Canis lupus familiaris: one gene and its partner. The protein of the gene in region 1 interacts with the protein of each later gene in a pairwise test. Links are inferred from orthologs where the notes say so. Each region holds a gene or a part of one and is shown in the gene's direction. Other genes may lie near its edges.

Evidence for each region. The genes of interacting proteins can lie anywhere in the genome.
Region 2: the proteins of NFKBID (region 1) and SS18 interact in a two-hybrid assay, tested with the Homo sapiens proteins (2 studies listed by BioGRID and IntAct). The two-hybrid records come from large-scale screens. The link is inferred for Canis lupus familiaris from reciprocal best matches to the Homo sapiens genes NFKBID and SS18.

What each region holds. Positions count from the first base shown.
Region 1 is NC_049222.1:117,609,583-117,613,333, forward strand, and holds the start of NFKBID (NF-kappa-B inhibitor delta), read left to right. Parts: upstream 1-854; 5' UTR 855-1,109; coding exon 1,110-1,128; intron 1,129-1,238; coding exon 1,239-1,339; intron 1,340-1,530; coding exon 1,531-1,591; intron 1,592-2,051; coding exon 2,052-2,269; intron 2,270-2,500; coding exon 2,501-2,691; intron 2,692-2,773; coding exon 2,774-2,879; intron 2,880-2,992; coding exon 2,993-3,139; intron 3,140-3,252; coding exon 3,253-3,304; intron 3,305-3,397; coding exon 3,398-3,546; intron 3,547-3,751. UniProt on the Homo sapiens protein: Regulates the expression of IL-2, IL-6, and other cytokines through regulation on NF-kappa-B activity. Functions in the regulation of inflammatory responses.
Region 2 is NC_049228.1:62,587,983-62,591,633, forward strand, and holds part of SS18 (protein SSXT), read left to right. Parts: intron 1-692; coding exon 693-815; intron 816-3,507; coding exon 3,508-3,641; intron 3,642-3,651. UniProt on the Homo sapiens protein: Appears to function synergistically with RBM14 as a transcriptional coactivator. Isoform 1 and isoform 2 function in nuclear receptor coactivation. Isoform 1 and isoform 2 function in general transcriptional coactivation.

The sequences.
Region 1 (3,751 bases):
AACCGCGGGATGGGGGAGCGTCAAGCCTGGGTGCTGAGAGTGAGCGGACGCGGGCGCCCGGACTGCTGGGTGGTGATGGAGGCCGGGAGGCCGGGAGGCCGGAGGCTGGAAGCCTGGGCTCCCGGGGGCGAGGGGCCCGGGGGTTCGGACTCCTGGGTCCGGGCGGGGGGTGGGTCCCCGGGTGGTGCGGGCGGAGGGGGCTGGCGGCCCGGACCCCCGCTCCTGGGGGCGTGGTGGTTTAAAAGCCGTGGGTGAGGCCGGGCCGCCGCGGGCCGCGCCGACCTCCGCCCTGCCCCCGCCCCGGGAATTCCCGCGTCTCCGCCCACGCCGGCCCCCGCGCCGAGCAGGAATTCCCCACGTGCGGGGATTCCGCGAGCTCCACGCCTGGCCGCCCGCCGGGCTCGGAGCCGGACACCTGCGGCGCGCCGCGGGGAGGGGAAGGGGTGGATGGAAGATTCCCTTGCGTGAGCGCCGCGACGTCAGCACGTCGTGTCTGGGCCGTTTCCGAGTCCGCCCTCCCCCGCTTAACCCTTCCTCCGCCGGAACCCGGGCTCGGGAGGGCGCGGGCTCCGGGCCTCGACTTCCCGGGGGCTGCGGACCAGGCTCCTGGAAACCGGGGCTCCCGGGCGCAAGGGGGGGCGAGGCTGAGCGCCCGGACTCCTGGGTCCCGGGGCAAGGGGCGCTAGGCGCTCGGGCTCCCCAGAGTGGGGCCTGGACTCTTAGATCTGAGGGGCGCCGGGGTCTGGACTTGGCTGAGCCGGCGGGCTGTTGATTCGTCGTCCCCTGGGGAGAGGGGCTGGGGACCCGGGCCGGACGCCTGGTTCCCGTGGACCGTGCGTCGAGGTCAGCTTCAGGGCAGAGCGACGCGGGGAAGCTGCCCGTGCGGCTCAGGGCGTCATTGCCAGCGGCCCCCCAGGCCCCGCGACTGGGAGATCTGGGGGCTGGGAGTTTTCACGGAAGCTGGGGGGGGGGGGGGAGGTGCTGCAGAGGGGCGCGCCCCTCCCCCTTCCCCAGTTTCCACGACGCTGGTGGAAAGTTGGGTCAGAGGGGAAAGCGCGGAGCGAAGGGAAGGAAACGGCGGAGGCGGAAGCTGCACCTGAGAGCTAAGAATGGCTCTGGGGTCCTCAGGTGGCGTCAGCCTGCCAGTTTTTCCGCGCAGGAGGTCGAGGGAGGGGGCCCGAGTTGGGTGACTTGAGGACCTCTGATCGCCCCCCCCCCCCCCCCCCCCCCCCCTGTAGTGAGCCGGGGTGAACGCAGCCACTGCCCATCGCAGACCGTGAAGAAGCTCCTGGAAGAACAGAGGCGCCGTCAGCAGCAGCCTGAGGCTGGGGGGGTACCGGTAAGGCCCGGGAAGCCCTGAAGCGGGACTCCCGTGAGGCCGTGTCCTGTTGGGCGGGGACTTGAGGGCTCCCTGGGCCCTCAGCACGGAGCGGGGGTGCGGCCCTGACTTAGATGCTGCGGCTGGGACTGGATGCTGAGGGCTGTGTCACATAAACTCACCCTCCTTCGTTTCTGTTTATGCCTCTCCAGGGACAGTTTCCACCTCCCCCGGCCCAGTCCCTGACCCCATCTGTGAATGAGAGTGAGGCTGGTAAGTCTGGAAACCCATCTGGTCCCCTCAGCTGGCGCAGCCCCAGCTTTCTTCCCCGACTCAGACATTCTAAATCTTAGAACTTTGGGGAAACTTAGGAGTCAGACCAGACCCTCTTTCTTGCTGCGACCCGGTAGCAGCTTGATCTCCCAGATTCTCTGGAGCCCGCTAGTCTATGTATGAGGTCCTTCCGTGTTCCGGGGGCCCAGGCTTGCAGCCCTTTGTTGCTCCAAGAGTCTAGGCGCTCAACCCTCAGTGTCCCTGGAGTCCAGGTGGCAGAAGTCCAAGCTTTCAACCGCTTGGTGCCCTGGATTCTGGGTTCAAGCCCTTTGGTGTCCCACAAGTACTAGCTCTCAGTACCTTGGGAGATTCCAGGCCCTCACTCCGGTCCTCCAGTCTAGGTCAGGACTTCCCCAACTCTGGTAATCAGGCCTGCCCCTGCCCCTCCTCTCACACACAGGCCATTCTCGCTTCCCAGTACACCAAGAGACTGTGGGTTCTGGACCTGGCAGCCTGGCTCCCACCACGGGCTTTCCAGACTGGGACCCCAACACGCATGCTGCCTACACAGACAGCCCCTACTCTTACCCTGCTTCTGCTGCTGAAGGCTTCCTGACTCCTGACTTCTACCCACCCTCCGACCCAGGGCGGCAGTGTCCATATTCTGTGGGGATGGAGGTGAGATACAGAGTGGGAATAGGATGCTGAAGGACCCCTAAAATTCCCAGTTGCCCTCATGCTGGATTAAGATCCCATTCTTCAGATGGGCAAAACTGAGGCCCAAAGGTCCAGGGTCACTTGGTGCAGGCGGGGCACCCAGCCACTCTGCCTGGCACTGTGTGTACATCTGTATGTTAGGAAGAGGGAATTCTCAGCTGACTGGGTCTGCCCACCACATGTATCCTTCAGGACCCCCTGGATACCCGGCTTTATGCAGAACCTTCCCTGCCACAGGCAGGATCCTGGAGAGGTTCTGGACTTCCTTCAGGACCCCCACCGTTGCCTACTCTGGCCACCGGACCATCCCTGGACACAGCCCGTGCTCACATGCTGGCTTTGGGGCCTCAACAGCTGCTGGCCCAGGATGAGGAGGGAGACACGTGAGTATAGGGGATTGCGGTCTGCATGTTCCTGGCTTAGCAGGGCTGCTGTGCTCACTGCTTGCCCCCTACCTGTTCTCAGGCTCCTGCACCTATTCGCGGCTCGAGGGCTGCGCTGGGCAGCGTATGCCGCAGCTGAGATGCTCCAGGTATACAGACGTCTGGACATTCGGGAGCATAAGGGCAAGGTGAGGGCCGGGGGCCTGGACTGGATTTGAAGGCAGAAGGTCTGGGAACCTGGATTCTTGGTTTGCAGAGGGGAGGAGACTTGGGCTCAGACTAACCCTCTTATCTCCTGCAGACCCCTCTGCTGGTGGCTGCTGCCGCCAACCAGCCCCTGATTGTGGAGGATCTACTGAACCTGGGAGCAGAGCCCAATGCCACCGATCATCAGGGACGTTCTGTCTTGCATGTGGCTGCTACCTATGGGCTCCCAGGAGTCCTCTCGGTATGGCCAGCTGGCCGGTGGGGTGAATGGGATGGACTGGTCGCTCACATCCTGGCTTCCAGGGCTAGCAGGCCTGGGGAGACTAATCCAGCCCTCTGCCTTCTCCTCCTCAGGCTGTGATTAACTCGGGGGTTCAGGTCGACCTGGAAGCCAGAGACTTCGAGGGTAAGTTGAGTGGTCGGCAGGGTGGGTGTGGCAGGTGGGCTTGGGTGGGGTGGGTGCCCCAGATGCAGAGCCCTCACTGTCTCTGTTCCGCAGGCCTCACCCCTCTCCACACAGCCATCCTGGCCCTCAACGTTGCCGTGCACCCACCTGACCTATGTTTCCGGGTACTGAGTACCCAGGCCCGAGACAGGCTGGCTTGTGTCCAAATGTTGCTGCACATGGGTGCTGATCACACCAGCCAGGTGAGCTGGGCAGTGGGCAGCCGGTCTCTAGAAAGGTGTGTGGGATGGGTCACCTGGATGTCCAGGGCTTCCAAACAAAAGCTGACTTGGCTCTTCCCAGCCTGGTGAACTTGAGCACGTTACTTCAGCTTTTGTGCCCCAGAGAATAATATTATTGATCTTAGCTTATATTGATCAAGCACTTTACTATTCATCAAACACGGAG
Region 2 (3,651 bases), on another chromosome or scaffold:
ACATACACATATATATCCCCTTCTACAGGAATGCAAATTTTGCATAAGACAACTTCTACCCATGCAAAGCTCTCGTAGAATACTAGTTGCTGGCTGTCTTGAAAGTTACAGGGAGCCCAGAACAACCAAAATAATTTCCTTACAAATATTTAAAATGTATAACCATGACTTGCCATTTCTAACAACAATAAAAAGACTAAAACATTTAAAAATAATTTTTTCCTCAGTGGAAATTTTCTATTTGAACATAAATCCATCAATCCAATTTTTTTTTCTTGTGTGTGTTTACATATGTATAATTTTACATATAAGTATAGTGCCTTTAGGAAACAGCTTGCTGATCTTGTGTAGCTAGTGTGTGCTCTTGTAGCTGTCTTTAATTTTGTCTTTTTTATTTTATTTAGCATAGTCATGATCTTATGACTGTGATGTTCCAGTAAATGTAATGCTCGTATGGCAGAGACGCTGAAAATGCTGCAGTTCAACCTTGCAAAATTGGCTTTAACTGCAGTTTGTTTGGCCGAAATCCTTCTGTTTGGTTTGAGTTTTTTCTTTGTTTTGTTAACTTTCAAAAAATCAATATGGCATTTCATTTTGTTCTTGTGTTGTTGGCTATGCATCTTAGAGTAAAAAAGTTAATTAAGCGAACTTCTCAGTTGTTTTTTTTTTTCTCTTCTCCAATTATCCTGTAGGAAATTCACAATATGGCCAACAGCAAGATGCCTACCAAGGACCACCTCCCCAACAGGGATATCCACCCCAGCAGCAGCAGTACCCAGGGCAGCAGGGCTATCCAGGACAACAGCAGGGCTATGGTAATAGCTTTTTGCAGTTTATTTTTGTCACAAAAAATGTGATGATTGAAGCAAATATTGAAGCAAATATTTAATGTTTATTTTTCTAAGAATTCTTATTTTTGAAAATTCACAATTTTAGCTCAGTCTGTTACTGGAATATTTATTTTAAAGTGTTTTGCTCAGATAAACTAGTAATCCATTTAAAAAGAAACAAACTAGAGATGGTTCATTGACCAAAGGTAAGGTATGTAGTCATTTAAAATGAGTTCTTAAATGAATTCTTAAACCTCTTTGGTATTCATGACCACCCAGTAGCTTTGTATGTGCTTAGAAAACTGATGAATTGGTTGATTATTAACCGTATCTACATAATCCACTTAGCAAATTTATTTCTAATGACTGTTACTATGAAAAATAGCATTGATTTTTAGAGTACAAATGAGATTTATTTGGAATGCATAAAAAAATGTTTTTGTCATTCTTTGGTTAAATAGTAATATACACATACATAGAGATATATATTTACAGAGTTTGGGGAAATGTAGCCATATTTTCTTATTGTAGACTCACTATAAGATCTAGTGGCTGGATATCTTGCTTTAAATAACTTTATTAGATAGGGAGTGGGGAATGATAAAGACCTGATATCTCATTCTTAAATATTAAGCTACTGTCACTACTTTATATATAGGAAAATATGTTTCTAATGTTAGAGACATCTTCTCTTGCTAGCATGGTCTCTTTTTTACATCAGTAATGTCTTATTATTTTTAGTCATTACTTTAAGCTCTGTGATTAGTATGGGCGCCTCTAGCCACCCGTCATTGCAAATCTAAGAACCAGGATCAGCTCAAGTTCTCTTGTGCCTTCAATATATGCATTGAAATTTAGTCATGTATTGGGAGCCAGGCATTCTCCCCCAAACTGATAATTGTGGTTCCCTGATTTGAGATAGGACTTTAGAAATATTCAGTGGATTTCTTGTTTTTACAAGAGGACTTTCTTGCTCTTTTCAAATGGCAATTTTCATTTCATGACCATTGAATATCTGTATTTTGAATAAGTAGAGTATTTGGTTTTATTGTATTTACATGAAAATAAATGCAATGTGGTTTAATCAAGTAAATTCATTGATTTAAGACATTATTTTTGGGCAGCTCCTGTGGCGCAGCGGTTTAGCACCGCCTGCAGCCCAGGGCGTGATCCTGGAGACCCTGAATCGAGTCCCACGTCGGGCTCCCTGCATGGAGCCTGCTTCTCCCTCTGCCTGTGTCTCTGCCTTTCTCTCTCTGTGTGTGTGTGTGTGTGTGTGTGTGTGTGTGTGTGTGTGTGTGTCTTTGAATGAATAAATAAAATCTTTAAAAAAAAAAAGACATTATTTTCAGTGGGAAGAGAGAGTAGATGAAATTGAATATTTTTTGGTTCAAGTAGTTATGCTATTTTGTTAGACATTGGGAATCCCAAAGAAGTTCCCATTTTACTTATTCATAGGCTTCATTTGTCTTACTTTCTTCTAGTAGAAATTTAGAGTTTAATAATGCCTGTATAGTAATTAAATAAATAATAGACTGATGGAATTTATTTACACTTGAAAGTTTATTCTCTTTTGACACTTTCCTCTGCCATCTGTTTTTTTTTTTTTTTTTTAATGGCAGATTTTGAATAGCTGTGATAGAAAAAATTTAAGTGTCAAAGCTTTTCAGCTTATGCTTTGTAAAGCATTCTTTACAATAGGCAGTAGTGGAATTTATGAAAGAGACATATTTGTTTGGCAAGCCAGATTAGTCCCTTGCCATCTCTGGAGTTGGAAATCATTCATTTTTATGGGTTAAGTATTAAAGGTGATTGGTACATAGAGTGTAACTTTTGAATCAGGTTTTTTCGCATGCAACCTGTGGCTTTTCAAGTCTTCTTTAGTTTTGGTTTGAAAATATTGTGATAGTAAGTTTATCAGTGCAGAGCATAAAGCCTTCTTTTGATAATTGCAAATACAAGTCTAGAATTTATATGGAAAATTATTCTTTGTGATCCTTTGGTGATTTCAAGTGTAAATCTAGAGTCCTACAGCTATAAATATCATTGGTTCCCAAACTTTATTCAGAAATTATTTCAACAGGGATCCCTGGGTGGCGCAGCGGTTTGGCGCCTGCCTTTGGCCCAGGGCGCGATCCTGGAGACCCGGGATCGAATCCCACATCGGGCTTCCGATGCATGGAGCCTGCTTCTCTCTCTGTGTCTCTGCCCCTCTCTCTCTCTCTCTGTGACTATCATGAATAAATAAATAAAATCTTAAAAAAAAAAAAAAATAAATTATTTCAACATATTTCTGCTTCTTGCTTTTTCTTTTACCTATTACTCATACTGGTTGGCTTTCTAGTAGAAGTATAGATAAATTTTCTTAATACCATGGAATTAACCTACTGTACAACTCCTGAGTCTCTTTTACTCATTAAAAAAAAATTTTTTTTTGATGGCTAACACATAGCTCACTAGTTACACTGAATCAAAACACCTTGTACATGGTGGTATCCTTACAGTATTTTCACTCTTACAACCTTTGGAATTTATTTCAAAAAGTAATTGAGAAGATCAAGATACCAAACTATCCTTTTTTTTAATATAAGAACATAATAACATCTAGTTCTAAACCGTTCTGAGAGTTCAAGTTCTGTTTTTATCTGGGCTTTTATTTGTGTTAATTATTTTGCAGGCCCTTCGCAGGGTGGTCCAGGTCCTCAGTATCCTAACTACCCACAAGGACAAGGTCAGCAATACGGGGGTTATAGACCAACACAGCCTGGACCACCACAGCCGCCACAGCAGAGGCCTTACGGATATGACCAGGTAAGTTATT